Rattus norvegicus: one gene and its partners. The protein of the gene in region 1 interacts with the protein of each later gene in a biochemical or structural test. Links are inferred from orthologs where the notes say so. Each region holds a gene or a part of one and is shown in the gene's direction. Other genes may lie near its edges.

Region 1 (3,500 bases):
TCTGGTATTCCATTTCCGTTGCAGCTTCCATTTAAATGTGTTCTTAGTGATCCTCTTCCTACCTGGTCTAACCTGCGTTCTCTTGGATGTTTGAATCATTTATTTCTATTGTACTCTGAATACCGCTTGCTGCTGCCCCGTTATTGCCATAGTGTACAATATAGGTTTTCTTCCTCACTGTCTCATTTCACTGTGCGCCCGATCCATCACTGTCATCCACAGCAACTTATAATGCTATTACAGGACATCCTGAGAATTAAACGTCGGCTAGATTCCTGTTTTCTTCTCACCTAGTTGCTCTCTTAAACTAAAGACAGCCAGTAGACAGCCAGGACCAGGAATACAGAATACCTGTCTGCTCTCAGACTTGGGAGCAGGCTGAGTCTGAGTCTAACCGGGAAATGCAGAGAAGCTCTTTAGGCACTCTCCTAAAATTTATTTCTCTACAGTTTTCTCTTTAAAACTGTAGGATAAGGCATGAGTGTTTCACCTCGGTGTATAGAAATCAAACTCGCCCTTGTGGGTCCCAAGGACCAACCTCAAGTCCATCCAGCTTGACAGCCAGCACCTTCGCTTAAGCCGGCAGAGTGGCCTGAGGCCCTGCATGTGAGCTTAAATGAGTGGCAGGTGCCCAAGGATGTCAGGAGGAGGACATCAGATCCCCTGGAACTGGAGTTATAGATGTTTGTGAGCCACCATGTAGGTGCTGGGAAGTTGATCTTGTGTCTCTGCATAAGCAGCCAATGCTCTTACCCTCTAATTCATCTCTCCATCCCCACCCCTAAGCCTTCTTATGTATTCAGTTCTGTCGAGCTGAGGGTTAAAACCAACAGCTCGTGCATGCTAAGCAAACTCTTCCACTGAGCTACACCCACAGCCCTAAAGCTGTCTAAACTGGTTTCTAACATAGTCTCTTTAAATGGCCATAATTGGTTTTGCTCCTCTGGAAGAACCAGTGTAAGCCAGGCATAGTGGCAAATGCCTTTAATCCCAACACTTTGGGAGGCAGTGGGTCTCCGAGTTTGATATCAGCTCAGTCTGTATAGAGAGCTCTACCGACAGCCAGGGCTACACAGTGGGAACCTGGCCGTGGGCTGGGGGAGTGGGTAGCCTATCTCTGAATTCAGGATCTACCTGCATTTTGCAGTTTACTTGCCATGACTGAGTATAAACAAAAACAAGAGCTTCTGTGAAAGGTTCATCGAAAAGCAGGTATCTCCCCTGCCGTGACTTAGTTCCTTGCTGGTTACTTACCAGGGATTTTCCATTTAGAAGGTCTTAGTCATGGGTATGTTTGCATTCTCTCAAACTTACTTAGTTCAGGCGCTGTCAGGGCTGTGACTCGCTGTCTGTCACCACCAGTAAGAGTTTGCTGGTTCACCTTCTGTCTTCATGTTGTCTTCGGGTTGTCCTGACCCACAGCAGCTGGTTGAGGAGTGGCAGTAGAGACTGACTGAAGGGCTCGTTGGGCCTAAAGGGTTTTCTGGCTGGTCTGGGGAAAGGCTTACCGATCCCTCAGGATAAGGGTAGAAATCCCTGTGTAAGGAATGATGTGCTTGGCCAGCAAGGTGACTCAGTATAAAGTGCCTGCCCCTGAGCCTGACAGCCTGAGTTCGCTCTCCCGCACTCACCTGGTGAAGGGAGATCACCAAGTTGTCCTCTGGTCTGCTGGCCCTCACACACATGCTATGGTATATATGAATACATGCAAAACCACTATATACACATTGAATAAATGTAATTTTGAAAAATAATTTTTAAATATTCTGTGTCAAGATAACTCAGCTGTTAAAGGCACTTTTTCTGCTATCTTGGAAACCTGAGTTCCCTGAAACCCACAGTGGAAGAAGAGAACTGACTCCTGAAAGTTGTCCTCTGACCTGTGCACACATGCATACTTGCATTCATATACTTGTGGACATCATATACACGGATACATGTATGTAATAACTGTAAAAAGAATTAAGTGGCCAGGTGTTATGGCTAAGCACTCTAGAGACAGAGGCAGACTGACCTCTCTGAGTTCAAGGCTAGCTAGTGAGCTGCCGTCTCCAACAAGGGGAAATGCTGTGCCTGACTGCTGGTTTGTAACCTCTGTGGGTTTGCGTGTAGCACGTGTGATTTCTGAAACCACAGCGTTAGCGACTCTGTAATCGCTCGGTGAGTATGGGACTAGAATATGCACACACTCACTACTAGAAGGAGGAGCGGCTCTGAGTCACTTGTTCCAGACCTGTGTAGCCCGCTGATGCCGGCTCCCTTTTCTCCTGCAGGCGGACTATTTCAGCACTGTGGCAACAGTGGTGTTTCTTCGCAAAGAGAACTGTATGTACCAGGCCTGCCCGACCCAGGACTGCAATAAGAAAGTGATTGACCAGCAGAATGGGTTGTACCGCTGTGAGAAGTGCGACCGGGAATTTCCCAATTTCAAATACCGCATGATCTTATCGGTGAGTAGAGTGGATCATGAGAAGCCTTATGGTGTTCATGGACTGACTGTCATAGGCATGACACTGGAGGGTGTGGTTGGTGGTGAGGAAGTCACAGATGAATTTGGACTGGACAAATTGTAAATAAGGAAGGCTTTGCCCTGCTGGACAACACTGTCTCAAAAACTAAAAGATGTCAAGCGTGGTGAAGGAGGGGAGAGAACAAATCAGTAAAATAAAAAGAAAGGAACCCATTATTACCATGGAGGCTCATTTAAAAACTTGCAGTGCGAAGCCTTTTGCATTAAGAAGGAACCGCTCTAACTGGTGCTTCTATGTCTGTGGGAGTTGAGTTGGCCTAGCTCCTGAGGTCTAAACTCACATCTCCAACAGACTGAGCTAGACCACATTTTAAACTTCTTCCTATGGCATAAGACTGGCATAGCATTACCTGCACTTAACAATGCTAGCCCAGCATAGCCTCCCAAGTGTGCTCAGAGCATTCCATAGCCTACGCTTGGTCAGAAGCACCTGACACACAGCCCGCTTTATGATAAAAGTATCGAGTAGCCCCTGTGATGTATTGGATACTGTACTAAAAGTGAACCTTCTCATATGAGGGGACTGTTAACCAAAGCACAGAGATGGGCCTGTGTATGATGCAACACCTTTTCTCCTTGGAATTACTTTAAGTGGGAAAAGATAATCCCCCCTCCTTGTTGTGTCTTCCTTTTGTTATTTACTCGCTGAAATAATAGAGCTGTGGTCTTTTTAGGTAAATATTGCAGATTTTCAGGAGAATCAGTGGGTGACGTGTTTCCAGGAGTCCGCGGAGGCCATTCTTGGACAGAACACTGTGTACCTTGGGGAACTCAAAGAGAAGGTTGGCTGCGTGTTTGTCAGCATGGTGATGTGCTTGCCTGGTGCCACTGAGCTGTTGCATGCTTGCTTTGGGTGTGGTGTCTGCGCTCTCACTGCACTGAGTGAGAACTTAACCTGTGTCCTCTGTGTGTGTCCTGTGAGGTGATGGCCTTGGGGACCGTAGAGCACATTGCACAGAAGCACCAGCCG
Region 2 (4,083 bases), on another chromosome or scaffold:
GGTATCAGGCCCAGCGGCCGGTCTGGTTTTTGTTAGAGAAAACATAAACAGTTGGTAGGTGGCGGGGAACCGTTGTTCTAACAAATATCGGAGGCAGGCTACTTTAAAGAAAAGAGGGCCCTCTTGGCTCAAAGTTCTAGAAGCACAAGGTTCACAGGGAATGACACAGGCAATGTCTAGGGCCTCTTCTGGTGTCACAACTATGGAAGTCAACTCATGCATTTGTGCCTGTTCACTTTCTTTCCTATAAGAACCCCACCAGGATTCTTGTTATGTCCTATTCTAATTCCAAAGATCCCACCTCTAAATGCCACAGTTAAGCCAGATAGTAATGACACATCCCTTTGATTTCAGCACTCAAAAGGCAGAGACAGGAAGATCTTTGAGTTTGAGTCAAGTCTTGTCTACAGACTGAGTTCCAGGACAGCCAAGGGCTATACACACACACACACACACACACACACACACACACACACACACACACACACACACAAACCCTGTCTTGAAAAACAGAAACAAAAATGAAACCACAGAAAAACACCATAGTCCTGTTAACTTTCCACTCTTACGGTTTGTTTGTTTATTGGGACATGCTTTCTCTACACAGCCCTGATTGTCCTGGATTAGAACTCACTGTACAGATCAGGCTGGACTTGAACGCGGAGTTCTGCCTGGCTCTGCAGCTCAGTGCCTGTGCTTAAAGACTTGTGCAAACACACCCATCAACTTTCCATTCTTTTAAATATTCACATAAACGCCAGGAATTAAATTCCCTCGAGTTTAGAAAACAGACTATATTTAAAACGTAGCAGGCAACGAAGCCAGGGACTTGCCCAAATTCCCAGAGCAAGAGTAGAGACAGAACCTAGACAGTGTTAGCTTCTTTACTCATTTGTGCTTTATTTACGGGGTCACATTGTTTCTCAAAAGGCAGCCAAGGAACACAGGCTCAGAATCATACCTACAGACTCTCTAAGGCAGACCCTAGGAATCTGCATTTTTACAAGCTCCTGAGAAATCTGTCCTGCACACGAACATTTCAAAGACTAGTGTTCCCTGGGTGACAGCAGCTCCGCCTCAAAAACAGCCTTGGCCAGATTCCTAGGTTTAAGATCCCCGCAGCCTCATGGGAAATGTAGTTTCTGCTCTCCTTCCCGCCTCAGGCCTCTTGGAAAACTCGCCGGAAGAAGCCGAGCCAATGCGGAAACAGCCGAGTGTTCCGAGGCGGGCCTTTTCCTGCTCGGTTGCATGCTGGGAAAGGGCAGTTTCCGTTAGCTGCAGAAGGCTGAGGCGCGCCACCGGCCACCTCCCCACGTGAAGCAGTTGTGCGAGCATCGCCACGCCGGGCAGCTGTCTACCCGCGTCCGAGCGCTCCGGAAGCGGCGGGGGACCGGAAGTGGCCCGCGGAGGCTGCAGAGCTAGTCCGGGAACCCGCTGTGAGGCGACTGGCAGCAGCGCTACGACGGCGCCATGTCCCTGATCTGCTCGAGTGAGTGCTGGCTGCGGCGGGAGGCGGGAGCGTGTGCGGCCGCTGTGGCTCGGGCCCTAGAGCCCCCGGCCCTGCGTGCAGGGTGCATTTGCGCAGTGATGCGCAATTCACGTAGCTGGGAAGAATGACTGTCTCAGGGGTCTTTTGAAGCCAGCGTCGTTTTACAGAGCTGAGACAGGCCTGAGCAGAAGTGGGGGGAGGAGCTGGTGCAGTGAAAAACAGCTCTTGGTGTCAAAAACCCGAGGACGTGTCCAGGATCCGCCTCCGACTGTGATCTGGGCTCTAGCGGGTTTGGGCCTCAGTTTCCCCACCTGCAAAATTGAAAGCATTGCAATGGATATTGCTTGGGAAACCTCGCTTAGGAATTGGAGTTTCTGATTTGCAGAGATCATGCAGTGACTTCGAGACCAGGGCTGGAAGCCAGGTGTCTGGCTTCTAGCCTCGCGCAGTATGACTAATGAAAACAGCGAATGTTTAGAAAACCTGTATTGATTTACGATGCATTTCCAAACGGTGATCTCATTTTATGCTTACAAGAATTGTCTGAAGGGAAATAAAGATCCGTGTGTTACAGAGGTTGTCGGAAGACTTGAAGAATGGGTTTATCCAGGGGTGTGCGACGAAACTAAGCCATGGAGCTCGGTTCTTTGAGCCTGGATCCATGGTTTTCCCATGTAGTATATGGTCTTGTCTTTGGGTGTTGTATTACGGCATTGCGGGTGTTCTCCCAGTTGTTTACCCCATTACTAGTTTCCTCACTTTCTCTCTTTCCCTCTCAGAACGTTGCCATTAATTCAAAGAGGGAAAGGAAGGAGGGAAATGACAAACAGAAAAGGAAGTCTCATAGTGAAGAAATAGCAGTTTGCAAAGTATTTATGAACGATTTGTTTCCTTTTCATCTTTGAAACAACACTCTTACATGCCCAGGGCCATCCTTCCTCTGGTAGGAGAGGGAAAGCTCTCAGAAAGCTTCAGTCGTTGAGTAGTGAGATAAACCTACAGAATAGGACAGGAAAGCCATATACAAAAATAGGGATTTTAAGTACTGAAACAAATACTTAATTACATGTGCATGGAGTCCTGCAAAATTAAGTGACTCTAAGGGAAGACACTGAGAAGGATAGGAGCTTGAAGCCTTGGGTTGTTGACTCACAACCTATGGGAAGGCGAATAGAATTATGTGATGAATAAGAGCTGTTTTGTGATGTGATAAGTCACTATCTTAGAGCGGCCTTCAGAAGAGTCTGATGTGGAGGTAGCTTTCACTTGTCTGCTTGAGTGATCCAGTTGTCTTTTTTAGGGGAAGGTAGAGAAGCAAGGGGGGTCTGAGAAGGTCAGAGAGACCTTGGTTCTTGCTTTTGAGGCTTTTTTTTTTTTTTTTTTTTTTTTTTTTTTTTGGTAGTTTGGCATGCCCAGGGCTCCATACTTTGGGATATTCTTTTCTGAGCCCCAGTACTTTTGCACTTATTTAATCTGCTCTGATGTTTATCAAGTGTGTGCTTCGCTTCTGCATTGTCCTGGAGGTCAGTGACAGCTGTAAGTCCCATCTTCAAGGGTACACAGACTATTCTGTCGAGCGCTTAGAATAGAATTCTGCCTGGCACGTAGTAGCAGAGCAATGGAAAGTTTTTGTTTGTTTGTTTTTAATTTATCAGTGCTTGTCACATGGCTTTGTAATTTCTCTTGTTGATCCATCTCGGGCTCCCGATGGATGACAGAAGTTTGAGTTGTGCTCTGTGTACTTCTCTGTCATGTGCCTAGTCATCTGGGTTCAAAAAAGAGATCGACCACTCTATACCGCACTGGCACATAGGATCTGGGCAGTTATTATTTATTGACTTTTATTATCAGCAGACCAGAGATTCTAGGTAAGTAGTTGGCAAGCATTGTGGGACCAAGTACAGGCAGGCTTGCTGTCACAGACCTTGCTTCCTGATAGCTGACTATAAAGGACAGGGTCTTGTTGGGGCTGACACAGTGAAGAGTCTCCTTTTACCCTGTGGCTCACTACCTGTCTTTCTCTATAGTCTCCAACGAAGTGCCAGAGCACCCATGCGTGTCCCCTGTCTCTAATCATGTGTATGAGCGGCGACTCATTGAGAAGTACATTGCAGAGAATGGCACAGATCCTATCAACAACCAGCCTCTCTCAGAGGAGCAGCTCATCGACATCAAAGGTGCCTGCCCAATAGCCTTGGTCCAAGGCCATCTCAGCTCAGCCTTCAAGAGTGGGAGGTGGTGCCAATCTGGTGGAGAAGATGGTGGCTGTGAGTGGGGGAGGGGAAGAGTTCCCGGGTTCTAGTTCTTCATACCTGCTTTGCTGCCTCTCTTGGCAGTTGCTCATCCAATCCGGCCCAAGCCTCCCTCTGCCACCAGCATCCCAGCCATTCTGAAAGCCTTGCAGGATGAGTGGGTGAGTCTGTGAAAAGAATGCACCTCCGGGGGCTGGGGATTTAGCTCAGTGGTAGAGCGCTTACCTAGGAAGCGCAAGGCCCTGGGTTCGGTCCCCAGCTCCGAAAAAAAGAACCAAAAAAAAAAAAAAAGAATGCACCTCCGGGCTAGGACCTGAGGATTGAACAGATGAGGCCTCCCTC
Region 3 (3,500 bases), on another chromosome or scaffold:
CTCTCCAGCCTCTAGATGTTACTGTTGATTGCTGTTACTGTTGCAAAGATTTATTTCCTTATATATGTATGAGTGTTTTTCTTGCGTGTATTTAAGTGTACTATATGCATGCCTGGTGCCTGTGGAAGCCAGAAAATGGTGCTGGGTCCCCTAGAACTGGAATTATGGCAGTTGTAAGCTTCCATGTGAGTCCTCTGCAAGAGCAGCAAGTGCTTTTCACCACCGAGCCATCTCTCTAGACCCCCAGGTGTTTAGTTTTATTGTCCTGTCATATTGACTGATTTTTTTTTTCAAACTAAAGTCTCATTTTTGTTGCTAAGTGTTATTTGTATATACTTGGAAAATAAACAATAAAGAGAAAAGCTGCGAATAGCATCCTGGTTTTACAAGGCAGGAGAATCTGAAGGGATGACAGATAGGAAGTAAGGTAGGAAGACATGCTACCTTGTCTTTTCGGCTCCTGTGGTGGTGCGCTCCTGTCATACTAGCATAAGAGTGTTTTCCTGTTGTGTTCCTGGGCTTGTCTTACAACACATGTAGGTTGAGCATCTCCACTACAAAAATAAGGTTATATGCACAGAAGTCTGAATTTTTTTTTTTTTTTATCAAAAACCTCACACTCAAGAAGATTCAGATTTTGGGATATTTGGAATTTTCAGTGAAGGATATTAAACTGTTAGTCTACCCAAGTGCCCAAAAATATACAAAACTCACAGTCTAAAGCATTTTGGGTCCCAACTTTCCCAGATAGTGGTTTCTTTACCTGTGTACCTGTGTTACATTACTACTTTAACCTGTCCTATTGTTTTCTTAGGCTGAGGCAGCGAAATTAGTTCCAATGGGTTTCACCACTGCAACCGAATTTCACCAACGCCGGTCAGAAATCATCCAGATTACTACTGGCTCCAAAGAGCTTGACAAACTACTTCAAGGTATAGTAACCCCTCATCCTATTTTATAAACCCTAACTAATTAACACAGATGGGAGGTGAAAACAAAGCCAGACTATTACTATAGAATTCATCCTAGGGGAGAATACTACATAGAGACGTATGAATAGTAGATTTCTTCAGGGTCTTGACTGGCTGATTCTGTAGGTTTGCTTTTGTAAAGATTTTTTTTTTTTTTTTTCGGAGCTGGGGACCGAACCCAGGGCCTAGGGCTTGCTAGGCAAGCGCTCTACCACTGAGCTAAATCCCCAACCCCTGTAAAGATTTTTAGTTTAGATTTTTCTTTGTTTTGAGGGGAACTGTTTTTGGGGGGGGGTGGGTTGTTTTGTTTTGTTTTTTGGTTTTGTTGTTGTTTTGTGGGTTTTCTTGTTTGTTTTGTTTATTTTTGATTCCTTGGCTTGTATCAACAGATCTAAGATTCAGGCTGAATCGAATGTATTTTGGACTGTAGGAATATCAGCTTCTCATAGATCCTTTATTACAGTTAGGAAAGATTAAGGTAACATCGGAGGAAGCCAGGTGACGTGTACCCAAAACTTCCTTGTATATTTCTTTATAACATTCTACAAATGTAACATTTTTAAAATAAGACATTTTTATTTTTTAATTATGTTTAGTGGTTTTAGGAATTGATTCAGGAGCTAACAATATACTTACATTCCCCGTCTTCTGCACCTATACTCCAGGTGTGAAGATTTGACATACGCATTAGTTACTCATTCTGGCTCTGATTTATAAAATACTAAAATTACCTATCTATAAATTAACTTTTGGCTTTGTTTTGTTTTGTTGAAACAGTGTCTTTGTAGCTCTGACTATATATAAAGAATTAGTTCCCCCTGTTTAAGGAAATAAGTATTATATGTATATTATATCTTAAGTGTTAATTTTTTTTAAGGATTTATTTATTCATTATATAAGTACACTGTAGCTGTCTTCAGACACACACCAGAAGAGGGCATCGGATCCTATTACAGATGGTTGAGCCACCATGTAGTTGCTGGGATTTGAACTCAGGACCTCTGGAAGAACAGTTGGTCCTCTTAACCGCTGAGCCATCTCTCCAGCCCTGTTTATTTTCTAATTTTAACACAAGATTGGAAACTTGATGGCTGGTAATGCAAATGGTTGTCTTACAACTCTGATGACCTGAATCCAATCCCTAGAACCCACAGTAGAGGGAGATAACCCATTCTCCCAAGTTATCCTCTGCCCTCTACCTGTGAGCTGTGGCACATGCCTGCCCAACCTCACACATGTCATACACACAGTACAATAATAACAAACTTAGAAACAGAAGAAGTATATGGGAAGGGGGTGAGCCCAGAGACTCACATCTCCTACCACTGAGCTATGCTTCCTGCCACAAAACACTGTTTAAATACTACTCAGTGTAGTACATATTAGTATGTATGCATGTATGTATGTATGTATGTATGTATGTATGTATGTATGTATCTGTTTGTTTATTGTGTAGTACCAGCTAGCCTGAAACTCACAGAGCTCCCACTGCTTCTATTCCGTAAGTGCTGGGATTACACCTTGTCTGGGAGGTTTTAAACTTTTGAAAACATAGTTGTCCTCATTGTTGAAAAGTTTTTAAGTTTGGTTCTTGCTGTTTTTCTAGTTATTTGATTATTTACTTTTTCTTCCTTCTTGGGATACAAAATAGCCTGGGTTCAGGAATCATGCAGAATTTGAGTTTTAAACCCTCTAAGAAGATCCCCTTCCCTCCAGGACACAAAGGCTGTGTAGAGAGACCATGGCTCCTGCCTGAAATTCCAGCACTTGGGGTGTGGAGGGAAAGGGGTTAGATGTTTAGTGTTATCCTCAGGTATGGGATGAGTTTGCGGCTAGCCTAAACTACATAAAAGCCTGTCTCATTAAAGATAAATAAAAGAATTCTCATTTCTAGTATTTACTTAATGTGCCTATGCCTGTTTTCTTCAAGATGAGGATAAGTCTTCTTATCGCCTAGGCTTTTAGAACTACATGAATGGTACGTTTAAGTAAATTGGACAAGGAGGTTCACAAAAAAATAGTAAATACCAGGTTATATTAAAGCAGCTGAAGCCCTTGTTGGCTTTTCTTGGTTGAGTTCTGTAACTTCATTATGGTAGCAATTACTTGAAGCTGTACATGCAATAAAATTGCCTGAGAACTATAGCAACACCAAATGAGTGCATATGGAGAGATGTGAACATACTGAGGGCTAAGGAATGTAAGGCTAAGCCTGGGAGACTCAGGGATGAGTGCCCAGACCTCCAATTTACAAATAACCTATACTTATTTAAAAATAAGTGTGACTTTTATTTTTGTCGATATTGGGAGTTGAATGTAGGCCTTTTATCTAAGGAGCATTCTACGATTGAGCTGCATTGCCAGACCCAGTGTCTCATTGTACTGTGCGGATTGGTCTTGAACATCCCAGGCAGGTTTTAAACCTTAGAACTTTCTGTTTCATCTTCCCACATAGCTGGCTTACGGGTGTGAACTAGTAAGCCTAGACAAAAAGAAAAGAAGCAAATTAATGAATTGCTGATTATTGAA
Region 4 (3,500 bases), on another chromosome or scaffold:
CTTTCCTGGGCATTGGGCCTATCTTGCAGGCTTCGACGATGTGGTAAACTTCAGTTTTATATAACTATAATATAATTTTTAAATGTAGTTACCTTCAAATTAAATGTAGAGAAGTGAAACTGTCTTTACTGTAGTACAAAGCTAACTGATACGGAATCATAACAAGCCTAACATTTTGATCTTCACATGCTTTTATTTCACGATGACTATTTTCTCATTATTATATTTTCCTATATTTTCTTTTGTCTTAGAAAAATGGAGAGCAAATGAGCAAAATACGTGTTTATTTTTTTCTTATGAGGAAACAAGATTCAGATTACTTGTTATTCTCTATGTGTGCATGAATTAATATGTGTGTGTGCCATATCCCACAGGAGGTCAGAAAATAATCTCAAGTCGGTCCTCACCTTCTACTTTGTTTCAGAAGAGTTTCAAGCTAGCTGGCCATTGGCTTCCAAAATTCTTCTATCTCATTATAAAGCGCTGTATCCCAGGGATGCTCCAAACTCAGTTCCTCACACCAGTGCAGCAGCTCCACTAACTGAACATTTCCTTGGCCCATCCCTCTTTTTTAAAATGCACTGCTAGGAGTGAGCCTGTGGCCTCTTACCTGCCAGGCATCCCCTTTTCTTCTGTCCCACATCCCTACTTGTGAAACATGGCTGTAAATGTATGCTTATTTTAAGGAAATAGTCCTAAGGAAACGCTTTTAAAGACTCCATGGGGCTGGGGATTTAGCGCAGTGGTAGAGCGCTTGCCTAGGAAGCTCAAGGCCCTGGGTTCGGTTCCCAGCTCCGAAAAAAAGAAAAAGGAAAAAAAAAGAAAAAGAAAAAAAAAGAAAAAGAAAAAAAAAAGACTCCATATTTAGTCTATAGTTTCTATGACTTAAGGACATTTTAAAACATTTTTAGAACCACTTACATTATACACTATTACAATCATGTTGTGTTTTTAACCTAAGCAGTAATTTTTAGCTTAATTACATCATGAGGTAGGCTTCATTTTGGAGAAGTTTCTTTTTCAAAAACAAAGTACTTTCAATTGATAAACTTGTTCTTTGAAATTTTTATATACTTATATGATGTATTTTGATAATACTCTTCCAATATTATGATAAACATTTTTATTATGTAAGATTTTGTGACAATATTATGATAAACATTTTTATTATGTAAGATTTTATTATGTAAGATTTCTAAGGACTACCTGAATATGCATGTGTAAGTATTTGTTTGACTGACAAAGTCAGGGTTTGTTGGGTTTTTTGTTTGTTTGTTTGTTCACTTCCTGTATAGTTCTAATGTTTAAGAAAGTGTGTCCCTATTCATAGACGTTAATTTTTAGCTTCTAGATAACCAAGGTAAAAGAACATTTTAAAATACAAATTTACTACATACTCCTACTTACTCTTTCTTATGATGCATAACTCAATATAATATTCAAATTTAACAAAGAATTTCAGTCTTGTCTTAACTATAACACTCATTATTTTTTAGGTAGAAATTCTTTCTTCTCTTCAGAAACCAAAGAAAATCTCCTTAAAGGGCTCAGATGGAAAATTCTATATCATGATGTGTAAACCAAAAGATGATTTGAGAAAAGACTGTAGACTAATGGAATTTAATTCTTTGATTAACAAGGTTGGAAACAGTTTGCTTTATAAAGATTTGTTTATATTATTTTCAGTGTGTGTGTGTGTGTGTGTGTGTCTGTTTGCATCTCTATCACTATGCACATGTGTACAGGAGCCTGCTAAGTCCGAGGCATGAGACTCCCTGGAGCCTTAGTCTGATGACTGTGCACCACCTGAGATCGGTCCTGAGATCTTAGTCCGCAAGAAGAACAGCAGTGCCTGACCTGCTGTGCCGTCTACCCAACCTCATTGCTTTTATTTTAGAATTAGGAAAATAATCGTCATAGTCATGTGGACTTCTTAATAGGCAGATAGATTACTGTTGAAATGGAATGTATCTTTTAATTTTCATTTTTGTGATAAAATGTACATACTATCATTTAAATCAGTTTTCAGTGTCATTGAGTGTATTCTCATTGTTTATCTTCTTGTCCATTATGAATGCTTGAGTTTCTTCCACCTGATACTTTGAATGAGTAAACCAATATTTGTTCAAGTCCCTCTTATCAGATTTTTGGATATATTCATAGATTTAAATTGTCTCCTTTACTTAATGTTTAACAATTATTATTTTATTTTTAAGGGATGTAAGGCATTAATGAAGGAAAATATTTTCTACTTAATGGCTTTATATAAAGCACTCTATTACTTATCTAGAACCCAAGGTTTCTGTTTCAAAGCTAGAAAAAAAAATGGGTTCTGTTTTCACAATGTCACTGTTTAAAAGTAATCATTAGCATTGATTTTATTCTGTTAGTAAGTGCTTGCTATCTGACTCAAAGAAATATGGGAAGTCTAATTTAAGACTTATTAGCTAGGAGTGGTGGTGGTAGCACCATTTAAGGGACTCAGTCAGGAAGGTTTCAAGCATAGTTAGGCTTCAAAGAATCATCTACAGGGAAAAAATAATTTTTCTGTGCGGAAGTCACAGATCTCTGTGTTAAAAAAGAAAGAAAGAAAATCAAGCAAATAAATCATTATATGTAAGCCAAAAATGACTTGAGAAAGGATTGAACTAATGGAATTCATTTTTATTAGTAAGTTTTGTAAACAAGACCCAGTCTCAGAATTAAAGGTTAATTATATCTATTTATACATAGACATACATGCATTACTGGTTTGGGCTTGTTTTTGGTAGATAGTATGATTCCTTATGAAATTTTTCAGAGAGGAAAGTAAAATAGCAATTCTTAGATAAAATGAAACATCAGTCTCTGTGCTTAAGTACTTATCGATAGTTAATCATGATCTATAACGCAGTAGAAAAGAAGACAATAGCGTTTTGTCATTGATGTGGTTATAAATACTGCTTTTCAAATGTAGTATTCTGTTAAATGCATAGTAGAGAGCTAAAAAGAAGCTATTGTACAAGGCATTTTAGGGCTTAAAGGAGAATAGGTACATGATCCCATAGCTTCCTCCTCTAAGTTTCAGAATCATTCATTACAGGCTGCCATCAGCGCATATCCTAGGAAAGAACAATATTTAGATATACATTTGACATAATAGGAATCTGAATTCTATTTTTTATTTCTGTCTATGTTTTCCATAGAGCTTAAGAAAAGATGCAGAATCACGTCGAAGAGAACTTCATATCCGAACATATGCAGTTATTCCACTGAATGATGAGTGTGGGATTATTGAATGGGTGAACAACACTGCTGGCTTGAGACCTATTCTGACCAAACTATACAAAGAAAAGGGTATTGTAGTTATTCTTATGATAGAAGCATATACTGAGGTTGCTAGCTACAAACGTGTAATATGTAATAATAGTTTTTATCATATCAATGCACATATTTTACCTAAGCCTGGTAGAATTTATATTCTACATATAGAAGCATGTAGGATCTTCTTTCTTCCCTTC
Region 5 (3,500 bases), on another chromosome or scaffold:
CCTTTGGTATTTTTCTTTTCAGGATCTTCTCTTGGAGATCTACAGAAGTATAGGAGAGCCAGACAGCCTGTATGGCTGCGGGGGAGGGAAAGTGTTACAACCCCTTACCCGGTAAGTTGCACCTTTCAGATAGTGATTCTGCCTTTCGAAGGAGCTCCATGCGCACAGAAACAAAAGATGTTTTCACCGTCATCTCTTACAGAATAAGGACGTACGAGCATGAAGCAACGTGGGAGAAAGCCTTAGTGACATACGACCTTGAGACCACCATCTCCTCCTCCACCCGCCAGTCGGGAATCATCCAGGTACACTGCCATCCGTGCCTGCTTCCGTAAAGCTGTCGTCAGTGGAGTTAGGCTGTCAGACATTAGGCCAGCACCTCAGTACACATTGGAAAGCTGCACAGGTCACTGTAGTTTGTTGATAATACTTTTATTACCCAACAGCAGAAGACACTTCTGGAGTGTGTACAGTATGCCTGCCAGGAGACACTCGTAGTGCTTCACATGGCACTAGTTTGCTTTAGAGTTGGTCCAGGAAACTGTCCTATCTTTTACTATAATAGGCTTAGGTATCTTTCCACCAAACATTAACATTCTCTGAGGAGAAATATACACGCTAAGCAATATTTTAGAGTTTTAAGTGATACTGTTAATTAAAATTTTTGAAATTAAAATTTGGGGGTGGGGGCTGGGTTTCTCGCTAGTTCAATGGTTCTCAACCTGTGGTCGCGACCCCCTTTGTGGGCTGGCTGACCTTTTCACAGAAGTCACATGCAAGATATTTAAATTACGATTCATAACAGCAGCAAAATTGCAGTTATGAAGTAGCAGTGAAAATGACTTTATGGTTCGGGGTCACCATAGCATTAAGAATTGTACTAAAGGGTCTCAGGATTAGGAAAGGCTGAGACCACTGGTCTACTCTATCCTGACGTATTTGATCATGTATTCATTTTGTGATAACTTCCTTTCAGGCCTTGCAGAACTTGGGGCTCTCCCATATTCTTTCTATCTACTTGAAAGGATTGGACCATGAAAGGAGAGAGTGGTGTGGGGAACTGCAGGAGCTTCATTACCAGGCGGCGTGGAGGAACATGCAGTGGGACCTCTGCACTTCTGCCAAGTGAGAGCAAACCAGCCTCTCCCCACTGCTTCTATCTGACCCTGAAACTGTGCATTTGGTTGTTTTCTCTATGAGTGCTGCTGGCTTTTGTTTTTTAATATATTGTACAGACACTATGGGCCGCACATATGACTAAATATTTAGTATACAATAGGCAGCTAGCACAATGAAGGTTGAATTTCATTCTTATTTTTTTCCACCAGAGAAATTCTATCCCCTGCTTCAAGTGTTTTGTAGATAGAAATTTTTAAAAATGCCTTTTCCTGTGAAAATATTGATTGTTGAATTGAGGAATCTAAAGACAAGTGTAGGCCTTCTCCCTACCACTTCTTGCTACATTGTAGTCAAAAGCATTTCTATTGGCTGGGTGATAAAATCAGTTACCTTTGTTAATGTTTTGTGGTGGTGGTTGTCGTTGCTGCTGTTAAAAAGTAGTGCTAGGCCAGGAGCAGTGGTGCACTGGGAGTCACAGGCAGGTGGATCTCTGGTTCGATGCCAGCCATGACTACATAGTGAGTACTAAGCCAGCCAGGGCTACCACAAACAGATAACCAGGCAGTTTATAAAGTACTGCCAAACCAAGTTACCCAAGAAGATAAAAGTTGTAGCCTGTATTTCAAATCATTGTATTTTTTAAATGAAAACCAAAACACCTAGACTACTAAAGGATTTAATAGTTACATAAAAAAGTCTGATAGAATGCTAAAAAATTAAGTCATTTTAATTACTTTAATGGAAAAATGTTTTCATAAATTGGAGTGTTTATCAAATTTCATGTTAGGAGTGGTATAAAAAGCGGATTTATTCATATGTAGGTGAATTTTCTGTGTTTGTTTTGAGACAGTTTCTCTGTGTAACCCTGGCTGTCCCGGAATTCGCTCTGTAGACCAGAAGATCCTACTTCTGCCTCCTGAGTGCTGGCACCAAAGGCTCGCGCCACCACCACTCAACTGCTCTCATTTTAAATATTTATTTTAAATGTAAAATTGAGAACCAACTAGAATTTCTAAGTTTTTGGTTTTTTTTTTAAAGAATTTAAATGACCTGTAAAATGCTTTCCTCTTCTCACTGCCTTTTACTGCTTTGGCTTGTTTGTTTTTTTTCTCTTTGTTTATATATATATTTTTTTTTTTTGGTTCTTTTTTGCGGAGCTGAGGACCGAACCCAGGGCCTTGCGCTTCCTAGGCAAGCGCTCTACCACTGAGCTAAATCCCCAACCCCCTTTGTTTATATTTTGAGTTAGGATTTTACCATGTGACTGTGGCTGGCCTTGAGCTCACTAAGATCCACCTCTCTCTGCCTACCAATTAAAGGCATATGCCGCTGCACCAGCTACATATTTTTCTTAATCTCTGCAAACTTTTATGAGAAATCTTAATTTTAGTTCTCAACATTGTTCTTTGAGTTAGTTATAGATGCATATCTCAGAGTTTTCCATTTTTAAATTTGTTTTTTAATCATCTCGCAGCCAAGAACTAGAAGGAACCAGTTACCACGAATCGTTGTATAATGCTCTGCAGTGCCTAAGAAACAGAGAATTCTCCACATTTTATGACAGTCTCCGACATGCCAGGTATTATAAAAAAGACAGATTGTTTTTATATTTGATGCTGTGGCTGCTATCCTCAAAATGTGAGTAGATTTAAATAAGAATTTGCGTCAGTGAAGGGATAAGACTTGGTGGCTGAGTTCAAGCGTTTCTTTGTCGTTCTTTGCTCTCAAGAAAGATTTTCTTGAGGACCTACGTCAGTTCTTCAGTCTGCGCCCTCTGGAAAAGCATGATAGTATTCTCTTTTGTACACGTGTCCTGGAAGAGTTAACCTTTGTCCTTTCTAGTTTCATGGCCTTCACTCTCTTACCATCATAGCTCTGCTTTGTAAGCTTGGTTTCTCTGAGGCATACATGGTGTAGCAATTAGCTGTAACAAGTTAAACAAACATGAATTTTTTTTAAGGTTTATTTATTTTTATATGCAGTGCTGTTTTTGCCTACGTATACGTCTGTGATCCCTTGGGACTGAAGTTACAGATAGTTGTGAGCTGCCATGTAGGTGCTAGGAATTGAACCCTGGTTAAGAGCAGCCAGTGCGCCTAACCACTGAGCCATCTCTCTACCCCCAAACATGAATATTTTAAACACTCGCCACTGACATCATAAATCCTATACATGTTGTTTGGTTATTGTTTGGTTTTAGACCCCAGAACAGGGGACTGAGGTGCATATTTTACACATCAAAGCAGACGTGGCCTCCTTGTTCTCCCAGCATCCCTCAGTCCCTGCCTGGTATACCTTGCCCCCAATCCTGAACTTTCCAGTCTAGGGGCTGGGCTGCCCTTCCCCAGAGGGTCTTCCCTATGTAATCCGGACATTTTGGT
Region 6 (3,500 bases), on another chromosome or scaffold:
TCTAATGCCCTCTTCTGGCTTCTGTGGGGGCCCACGTTCACGTGCATATACCCACACAGAGATAAAGGCACAACTAGGGCTGGAGAGATGGTTAAAAGCAGTGAAGTTCACTAACTTCTTCCAAAGGCCCCGGGTTCAGTTCTCAGCCACCCACGTGACAGCTCACAACCATCTGTCACAGACTGTAACTCCAGTCCCAGGAGGGCTGACAGGCGCCCTTGGTCTGGCCACGTGAGGGTGCCAGGTGGCCCACAGTGTACATCACGCATGTGGCAAAGCATGACTGCGAATGAATCTTGGATAAGATGAATTGACATGGTAGTTTCTCCGGCCCTTTCTCTGTTCTTTATTGTTCCTGTCTTTGAATCTTGAATTAACCTCTTTTTGTAGGTGATGTGCTTGATATTTGTCCAGACGGCTTCCTTTATATTTGTCTACTTGAGACTGGGTCTTACTGTATAGACCACGCTGGCCTCAAGCCTTTACTAATGCTAGAATTGTAATTACATCCTACCATGCCCACCTGTCTCAATAGCTTTACCAAAATACAAGTGTCATAAAATTAAATTGTACAGATTTGTAAGGTCCGTTATCTTTTTCCCTTCTACACACTCACGGGCAGCCACCGACCTGCCGTTCGCCGGTGCACGTTCCAGAACGTTGTATAAATGGCACCATACAGTGTGTGCTTCTTTTTGTTCTTAGAGCCATATTTTTATGCAAATTGGTAGTTTATTACTGGGTGGTATTTCATTATATATATACTTGGTAAATCTGTCCATCCATCTCTTGATGGATATTTAAAATGGATTTTGCTTTTTAAAAATTTTTTAAGTATAACCCTAAGGTGCTTGGCATGGTGGCACATGCATCTGATTCTAGCACTCGAGTCAGAGGCAGGCAGGTCTCTGAGTTCAAAGCCAGCCTGGTCTACAGAGCAAGTTCCAGGACAGCCAGGGCTACACAGAAAAACATTCTCAAAAAAAAAAAAAAAATGTGTAACTGGGAAATTCTCGTTTTCATTATGTGACTAGCTGTTCCCTAGGGACTTGGATTCCAGGAAAGGTAAGCAAATCACTTTTGAAAGGTGCTAATTACTTTAAAAGACAGTTCTGTTTTGCCATGATTTACCTTTGTGTTCCTGTTTTAACTTTCTTCTTTGGTAGGCTTTGGTGTTAAGATGCTGAGTACTGCGAACATGAGAAGCAGTCAGTACATCCCTATGCATAGCAAGCAGATTCGTGGACTAGCTTTCAGCAATCAATCCAAAGGCTTGCTCCTCTCCGCCTCCCTTGACAACACCATTAAACTGACCAGGTAAGGGAGTCGAGGGAAAGATGGGGCCTGGGTCACTGTGCGTCAAGTTAGTCTTAGTGTTATGGTGCCCTTTTTTTGATCTGAGCCAGTGTCTTCTTGTGAAAGGATATACGCAGCCAAACACATACTTTAAACCCAGCATGGAGAGGCAGGCAGATCTCCTACAAGTTTTAGGCTGACCTATAGTGAGTTCTAGGACAACCAGAGCTGTGTAGAGAGACCATCTCTAAATAAATAAATGAATGAAATAAAAGTCTATATGTTCTGTGTGGTGATTGACACCTCTAATCCTAGACTTGGGGTCCTGATAGGCATGAGGATTACCATGTGTTTGAAGTTAGCCTGGACTACATAGTAAATTCCAGGACAACTTGAACTACAGAATTAAACCCTGTCTAAAAACAAAGACAGAAAAGTAGACATAAACTTGGGGGTTGTGGTAGCAAATGCCTGTAATTCCAGCCCCTAAAAGGTAGAGACCTGGGGGTTGGGGATTTAGCTCAGTGGTAGAGCGCTTGCCTAGGAAGCGCAAGGCCCTGGGTTCGGTCCCCAGCTCCGAAAAAAAAAAGAACCAAAAAAAAAGGTCATGAGGAAGCAACCCAAGAGCATGAGACTGGGCAAAAAAGGAAAAATTTAAAAGTAACACAGGAGGTCACTGAGTTAATGTGAGGTAGTCTGACTCGTGTTCGTTGGTTTTTGTAGTACTGCAGATTGAGCCTGGGTCTGGAATGTGTGTGACAAGCATTCGTCATGGCTCTCTCCATGCCATTTTTTTTTTCTTTTTTTCTTTTTTTCGAAGCTGGGGACCGAACCCAGGGCCTTGCGCTCGCTAGGCAAGCGCTCTACCGCTGAGCTAAATCCCCAACCCTCTCCATGCCATTTTTATTTTTAACTCTGTGGCTCTTGGTAATTTACCTAGGCTGGCTTTGACCTTGTAATTGTTATTCCTTTGAGTAACTGGTATTTTGGGCCTGCATCAAAGGCTGGGCTATTCTAATTCTTTAAAATTTCACTTAAAAGTTTTACTAGAGGGATGTGTGTGCTCGTGTCTGTGTGTGTGTGTCTGTGTGTGTGCGTGTCTGTGTATGTGTATGTCTGTGTGTGTGTGTGCGTGTCTGTGTGTGTCTGTGTGTATGCGTGTATGTCTGTGTGTGTCTGTGTGTGTGTGTGCGTGTCTGCGTATGCGTGTCTGTGTGTGTGCGTGTCTGTGTGTGTGTCTGTATGTCTGTGTGTGTCTGTGTGTGTGTGCGTGTCTGTGTGTGTGTGTCTGTGTATGTGTCTGTGTGTGTCTGTGTGTGTGTGCGTGTCTGTGTGTGTGTGTCTGTGTATGTGTCTGTGTGTGTCTGTGTATGTGTCTGTGTGTGTGTGTCTGTGTGTGTGTGTGTCTGTGTGTGCGTGTATGTCTGTGTGTGTGTGTGCGTGTCTGTGTGTGTGTCTGTGTATGTGTCTGTGTGTGTCTGTGTGTGTGTATGTCTGTGTGTGTGTGCATGTCTGTGTGTGTGTCTGTGTATGTGTGTGTGTGTGTCTGTGTGTGTGTGTCTGTGTGTGTGCCTGTGTGTGTGTGTGCGTGTGTGTGTGTGTCTGTGTATGTGTCTGTGTGTATGTGTCTGTGTGTATGTGTCTGTGTGTGTGTGTGTCTTGTTTGCCCTCGTGTCTGCTGTACACCACCTGCATGCAGTACTTGCAGAGGCCAGAAGAGGGCATCAGGGACTGAACAGAGTTCCAGGTGGTTGATGGTCCCCATCTGAGTGCTGGGAACTGAATCCAGATCCTCTCTGAGAAAAATAGGTGCGGTTGACCACTGACCCATCTCTTTATCCCCTAAAATTACATACTTTAAAAGTCCATATTAAACTATTTGAATGAGAGCAGTGTTCTATAGATGTTGGGATATAATGTGGGAAGTCATTGTCTCCTCATAGAATTGCAGTGACAGCTCAGGACTGCTTACTCCAGGTCTGTCCCCCGGGTAACTAGTAATATGAGACCTGAGTGTGATCTATTCCTTTGGAGCTACCTTCCTACTCCTTTTCACTCTAAGAAATCTTTAAAGGAACTAGGCAGTAGGGACACATGCCTTTAAGGCAGAGGCAGGGAATCTGTGAGTTCGAGGCCAGCCTGGTCTGTAGGGTGAGTTCACAGACAGCCAAGGCAACACAGAGAGACAGACCCTGTGTCAAAAA
Region 7 (4,199 bases), on another chromosome or scaffold:
CATTTTCTCTTTTCAGTTTCCAGAGTGTCTTTCAGGGTTTCATTGGTTCCTTTGCCCTTGTCTTCTCCAGACACTTTAAATGTGATCCTTCTGCTGGCCACTAATCACTCATTAGCAAAACTGTAATCATGGAACATGGGGCCATCTGGGAAATACATCAAGGGAGCTAACAGAGACATACTGAGACAGCGACTTCATGTTCCTTTAAATATGCGGATCCTAGCATGTAGTGGTCATATGTTAGTGTGTATATAAGCTTTGAACTACAAAGGAAGGGTCACCAGAAGGGAAAAATGAGAGTCATGGACATGGTGCCAGGACATGGGAGGCTATGGGGGTGGGGGTGGGCAGTTACAAGATGGGGGTATTAGGGGGCTGGGGATTTAGCTCAGTGGTAGAGCGCTTACCTAGGAAGCGCAAGGCCCTGGGTTCGGTCCCCAGCTCCGAAAAAAAAAAGAACCAAAAAAAAAAAAGATGGGGGTATTAGGGTTACTGGAGAAGGATGAGAAGAATTAACACAGACCAATAACATTTCACAATTCCATAGTGAAACTTAATATTATGTATGTATATATTATAGCTATATATAAAAACAGATGTTTATATACACAAACATACACACATGTGCACATACATATGCCAGTGCACATACACACAACATATGCACACACACACACATGCCTGCTGCTGTGTGTGCTAGGATTAAAGGCATGTGCCACAATCCTCAGCTTAATATATATTTTTGAAAGGCATAATCATAAAGTAATTTTTCCCCCTTTGGAGCTGAGGACCAAGTGTTCTATCACTGGGCTAAATCTCCAATTCCAGAAAGTAATTTTAAATGTTAGCAGTAGCCAGGTGGTGGTGGCAGCAGCACGCACCTTTAACCTGGGCACTCAGGAGGCAGAAGCATGATGATATCTGTGAGTTCAAGCCCAGCCTTGTTTACAGAGCCAGTTCCAGGACAGTCAAGACTACACAGAGAAAACTTGTCTCAAAAAAAGCAAAACCAAACAAAATAAAAGTAGTAAAAATAAGAAACTCTTGATGTAGTGGCATTATCACTTTTGTGGCTAGCTATCTAAATGCAATACATTTTAATTGTGTTAATCCTGAAAGAAAGTTACAAATAGAAATGTAGAGGGAGGGGGGAAAAACAGATTAGACTGTCCAGAAACAACAAGACGACATTGGAAGGAAAGCTGAGCTCAAGAGTCAGTTGGCGCCCGCCCTCCTGTAATTCCTCCGGCCGCGGTTTCCGCTCCCTTTCGCGCTCTGCACTCCCAGGCAGCCCGGGCCGTAGCTTAGCTCGGCTCTGATTGGCTCCTTTGAACGTCTACGTGCAATCGGATTGGCGGACCCGGGGAGCTTTACCGCGGTGAGTTTGAAACTGCTGGCACTCGGCCTCTAAGCTCCCGGAGTCGCTGCGTCCGCGCAGTCCGGAACTGCGGTGTGGCCACCGCGGGAACAGAGAGGTATGGCGTGAGTCCGGCAGGGTGCCGGCAGGGCCTGCGGGGGCTCCACGGGAGCCGGGGTGTCCCCCCGGGGGGGGACAGGCAGGACATCCTGTGAGTCCGGGGGACCCCCTTGTGGACGGGTAGAGCCTCCACGTGAGATCATGGTCTCCTGTGGACGGGTAGGGCCTCACCTGAGTCCAGGGTCCCCTATGGACCGTCATGGCCTCCCTGAGCCTGGGGTCCCCTATGGAGGTGCAGGACTCAGCTGAGCCTGGGATCGATCTCCTATGGATGAGCATGGTCTACCTTAGCCCGGGGTCCCCTATGGAGTTGTAGGGCTCACCTGAGCCTGGGGTCCCCTATGGATGGGCATGACCTCACCTAAGTCCGGGGTCCCCTTTGGAGGAGCATGGTTCCTCTGAGCCCCAGGTCCCCTATGGAGGGGCAGGGATCACCCGGGGCTGGGATCCTCTATGGAGGAACAGGACTCACCCAAGCCCGGGGTCCTGCAGACGAGCAGGCCTCGCTGGAGCCCCGGGTGTGGGCGGGGTGCCAAGTTGGGTCCCAGGCCCTGCTGGCTGCCTGTGCGGAGCTGGGCTGCACCAGACCAGCTGCTTTCGGAGGCCTTCAAGTCGGTACTGCCGGAGAAACAGACCCGTGGTCGTTCAAAAAGCAATCCCACCAAGGTGCAGAGCCAAGAGAGTGTAGGATCGTTTATTTTTAGTTGCGGGTGCTTATAGACGGCCACAGACGCTACCCAGGCTAAGAAACAGAGAGAGGGAGAACCGCGGATACCATCGCATCCTTCATCGTCTTAAAACATAAGTAATGATGAAGGTCTTGGTGCGTGGACCACCATACCCCTATCCCAACCCCCCAAACTTGGATACCCTGGGCAGCTTTTAACACCAGCCCCAGGAGGCTGGAAAAGGTTGGAAGGGATGAGCCCAGTTTTGAAGACACTTTAACTCTTTGCTGTCTGTGCAGAGGTGGCGGCACAGTTTAATGTACTATAGTTCTGTTACGTCTCTGTGTTGAAGAAAGGGGATTTGGGGGGGGGGGAGTAATTTCTTAAACATATACATAGTTGAGAGTCAAACTTAGGCGTATGAGAATCCCCAGGGTCTAGTGGGATGCCTGGCAAGGCTCTTGGACAGGTTTACATTTTCTTTTTGATTTTTTTTTTTTTAATTTGTTGAGCCCCTGTCTCCTTGTGCAGTCTCAAGAGCTGGGATTCCAGGCTGTGCCACCACACCCCACAGAGCTGATTTTACAGTGCAAAGGGATCTGTAAGGACCAGCTCACAAAAGGTCAGCTATTCCTTGATGTTCATTGGTAAGGATCTGCCCAGGGCTTTCAAGGAAAAGGCGCTTAGTTTTTTCTTTTCTTTTTTTTTTCTTTCTGCCATTCTTTGTGAGCCAAGGTTTTTTTTTTTCCTTCCTTGCTCATGATATTTTTGCCGGTGTGATTAGGGTTTTGTTCAAACTGTCTTAGTCAGGGTTATTATTGTTATGGTGAAAAGCCATGCCCAAAGCAAAGCAACTTGGGAAGGAAAGGGTTTAGTTGTCTTGTACTTCCTCGTCACAATTCCATAACAGAGGAAGTCTGAACGGGACCCTGGAGGCAGGAGCAGATGCAGAGGCAATGGAGGGGTGTTGCTTCCTGGCTTCCTTGACATTGCTTGCACAGCCTGCTTTCTTCTAGAAGGAAGGCCCCTCTGCCCAGGGATGGCCCCTCCCACAATGGGCTGAGCCCTCTCCCATCATCACTAATTAAGAGAATACCCTAAGGGCTTGCCTACAGCCCTATCAGAAGCATTTTCTTAACTGAGGTTCCCTCTCTGGTGACTTCAGCTTGTGACAATGTGACCTAAACTGGCCAGCTCCTCACCTCACATACTTCCTTCTAAGGGGCTTATTGGCATTCCCTCCAAGTCTTGAGTCTTGAGTGGGATTGTCTGTGGCTGGTTTCCGAAAAGATTTACTTCACTTGTGCAGCTAGGAGTTCATGCTGTTTCAAGTGAATTGAATGCTTTTAAGGTAAACAGAAGCTTTTATTAAAAAATGACTGTCCTTCCTTTCTAGGGGTTGGACTTTACAGTTGTACTTTGTTTCCTTCTCAGACAGGGCTGCAGCAAACTAGGCCACAGGTTGGCCTCGAACTTGCTCTTCCTTACGGTAGGATTACATCATGCACAGCTTCCTTCTCACAGATTCTCATTGTTTTAAAGGAAAAAAAAATAAAGCAATTTTAGTACAGTAGCAACGTGTTGAAATACTGGCATTAAAATCATTATACTTCCGTTTTGAAACTTTAAGTCCCGAGGGTCAGGGACTACTGCTTATTTCTTTTGAGACATAGTATCACTAAGTCGTTTAGCTGGCTGTGTGACAGTCTCCTTAGTAGCTGGGTCGACAGGCCTGCTTGGTTTGTGAATGTGAAGGGGCCATGTACAACACTGTATAGAATATACAAAGGCAGTGTCTGAGAAGGCTCGGAACGCTTCACTGCAGGAGCAGGTAAAGCCCAACAATACTGCCTGAAGGAATGGCGGATAGTGGCAGGCTATGCTGGAGGTGATGGAAAGCACTCCTCCGGGACGTCTGTCTTCCGGATACTTCCGACTGTTTGAATTATGACCACATGACCACAGCCATGTTTCTCGTCCTTTTAGGGTCCGTTGTAACCTGTTGAGTAACTATGGAGGACTATATCAAAATAGAGAAAATCGGAGAAGGTGAG

What was found.
Region 2: the proteins of Rpa1 (region 1) and Prpf19 form a complex in vitro, tested with the Homo sapiens proteins (2 studies listed by BioGRID, with this or other methods). The link is inferred for Rattus norvegicus from reciprocal best matches to the Homo sapiens genes RPA1 and PRPF19.
Region 3: the proteins of Rpa1 (region 1) and Rad51 form a complex in vitro, tested with the Homo sapiens proteins (2 studies listed by BioGRID). The link is inferred for Rattus norvegicus from reciprocal best matches to the Homo sapiens genes RPA1 and RAD51.
Region 4: the proteins of Rpa1 (region 1) and Atr form a complex in vitro, tested with the Homo sapiens proteins (2 studies listed by BioGRID, with this or other methods). The link is inferred for Rattus norvegicus from reciprocal best matches to the Homo sapiens genes RPA1 and ATR.
Region 5: the proteins of Rpa1 (region 1) and Atm form a complex in vitro, tested with the Homo sapiens proteins (3 studies listed by BioGRID, with this or other methods). The link is inferred for Rattus norvegicus from reciprocal best matches to the Homo sapiens genes RPA1 and ATM.
Region 6: the proteins of Rpa1 (region 1) and Rfwd3 form a complex in vitro, tested with the Homo sapiens proteins (3 studies listed by BioGRID, with this or other methods). The link is inferred for Rattus norvegicus from reciprocal best matches to the Homo sapiens genes RPA1 and RFWD3.
Region 7: of the proteins of Rpa1 (region 1) and Cdk1, one has a biochemical effect on the other in vitro, tested with the Homo sapiens proteins (2 studies listed by BioGRID). The link is inferred for Rattus norvegicus from reciprocal best matches to the Homo sapiens genes RPA1 and CDK1.

What each region holds. Positions count from the first base shown.
Region 1 is NC_086028.1:60,653,280-60,656,779, reverse strand, and holds part of Rpa1 (replication protein A 70 kDa DNA-binding subunit), read left to right. Parts: intron 1-2,273; coding exon 2,274-2,450; intron 2,451-3,204; coding exon 3,205-3,312; intron 3,313-3,500. UniProt on the Homo sapiens protein: As part of the heterotrimeric replication protein A complex (RPA/RP-A), binds and stabilizes single-stranded DNA intermediates that form during DNA replication or upon DNA stress.
Region 2 is NC_086019.1:216,965,224-216,969,306, forward strand, and holds the start of Prpf19 (pre-mRNA-processing factor 19), read left to right. Parts: upstream 1-1,283; 5' UTR 1,284-1,470; coding exon 1,471-1,489; intron 1,490-3,516; coding exon 3,517-3,666; intron 3,667-3,825; coding exon 3,826-3,902; intron 3,903-4,083. UniProt on the Homo sapiens protein: Ubiquitin-protein ligase which is a core component of several complexes mainly involved pre-mRNA splicing and DNA repair. Required for pre-mRNA splicing as component of the spliceosome.
Region 3 is NC_086021.1:126,564,210-126,567,709, forward strand, and holds part of Rad51 (DNA repair protein RAD51 homolog 1), read left to right. Parts: intron 1-814; coding exon 815-932; intron 933-3,500.
Region 4 is NC_086026.1:105,382,822-105,386,321, forward strand, and holds part of Atr (serine/threonine-protein kinase ATR), read left to right. Parts: coding exon 1-43; intron 44-1,496; coding exon 1,497-1,640; intron 1,641-3,185; coding exon 3,186-3,336; exon of another isoform or gene 3,337-3,500. UniProt on the Homo sapiens protein: Serine/threonine protein kinase which activates checkpoint signaling upon genotoxic stresses such as ionizing radiation (IR), ultraviolet light (UV), or DNA replication stalling, thereby acting as a DNA damage sensor.
Region 5 is NC_086026.1:62,752,130-62,755,629, reverse strand, and holds part of Atm (serine-protein kinase ATM), read left to right. Parts: intron 1-22; coding exon 23-111; intron 112-202; coding exon 203-305; intron 306-976; coding exon 977-1,125; intron 1,126-2,593; coding exon 2,594-2,698; intron 2,699-3,500.
Region 6 is NC_086037.1:56,153,816-56,157,315, reverse strand, and holds part of Rfwd3 (E3 ubiquitin-protein ligase RFWD3), read left to right. Parts: intron 1-1,166; coding exon 1,167-1,317; intron 1,318-3,500. UniProt on the Homo sapiens protein: E3 ubiquitin-protein ligase required for the repair of DNA interstrand cross-links (ICL) in response to DNA damage. Plays a key role in RPA-mediated DNA damage signaling and repair.
Region 7 is NC_086038.1:19,263,894-19,268,092, forward strand, and holds the start of Cdk1 (cyclin-dependent kinase 1), read left to right. Parts: upstream 1-1,399; 5' UTR 1,400-1,475; intron 1,476-2,676; exon of another isoform or gene 2,677-2,767; intron 2,768-3,584; exon of another isoform or gene 3,585-3,634; intron 3,635-4,131; 5' UTR 4,132-4,157; coding exon 4,158-4,194; intron 4,195-4,199. UniProt on the Homo sapiens protein: Plays a key role in the control of the eukaryotic cell cycle by modulating the centrosome cycle as well as mitotic onset; promotes G2-M transition via association with multiple interphase cyclins.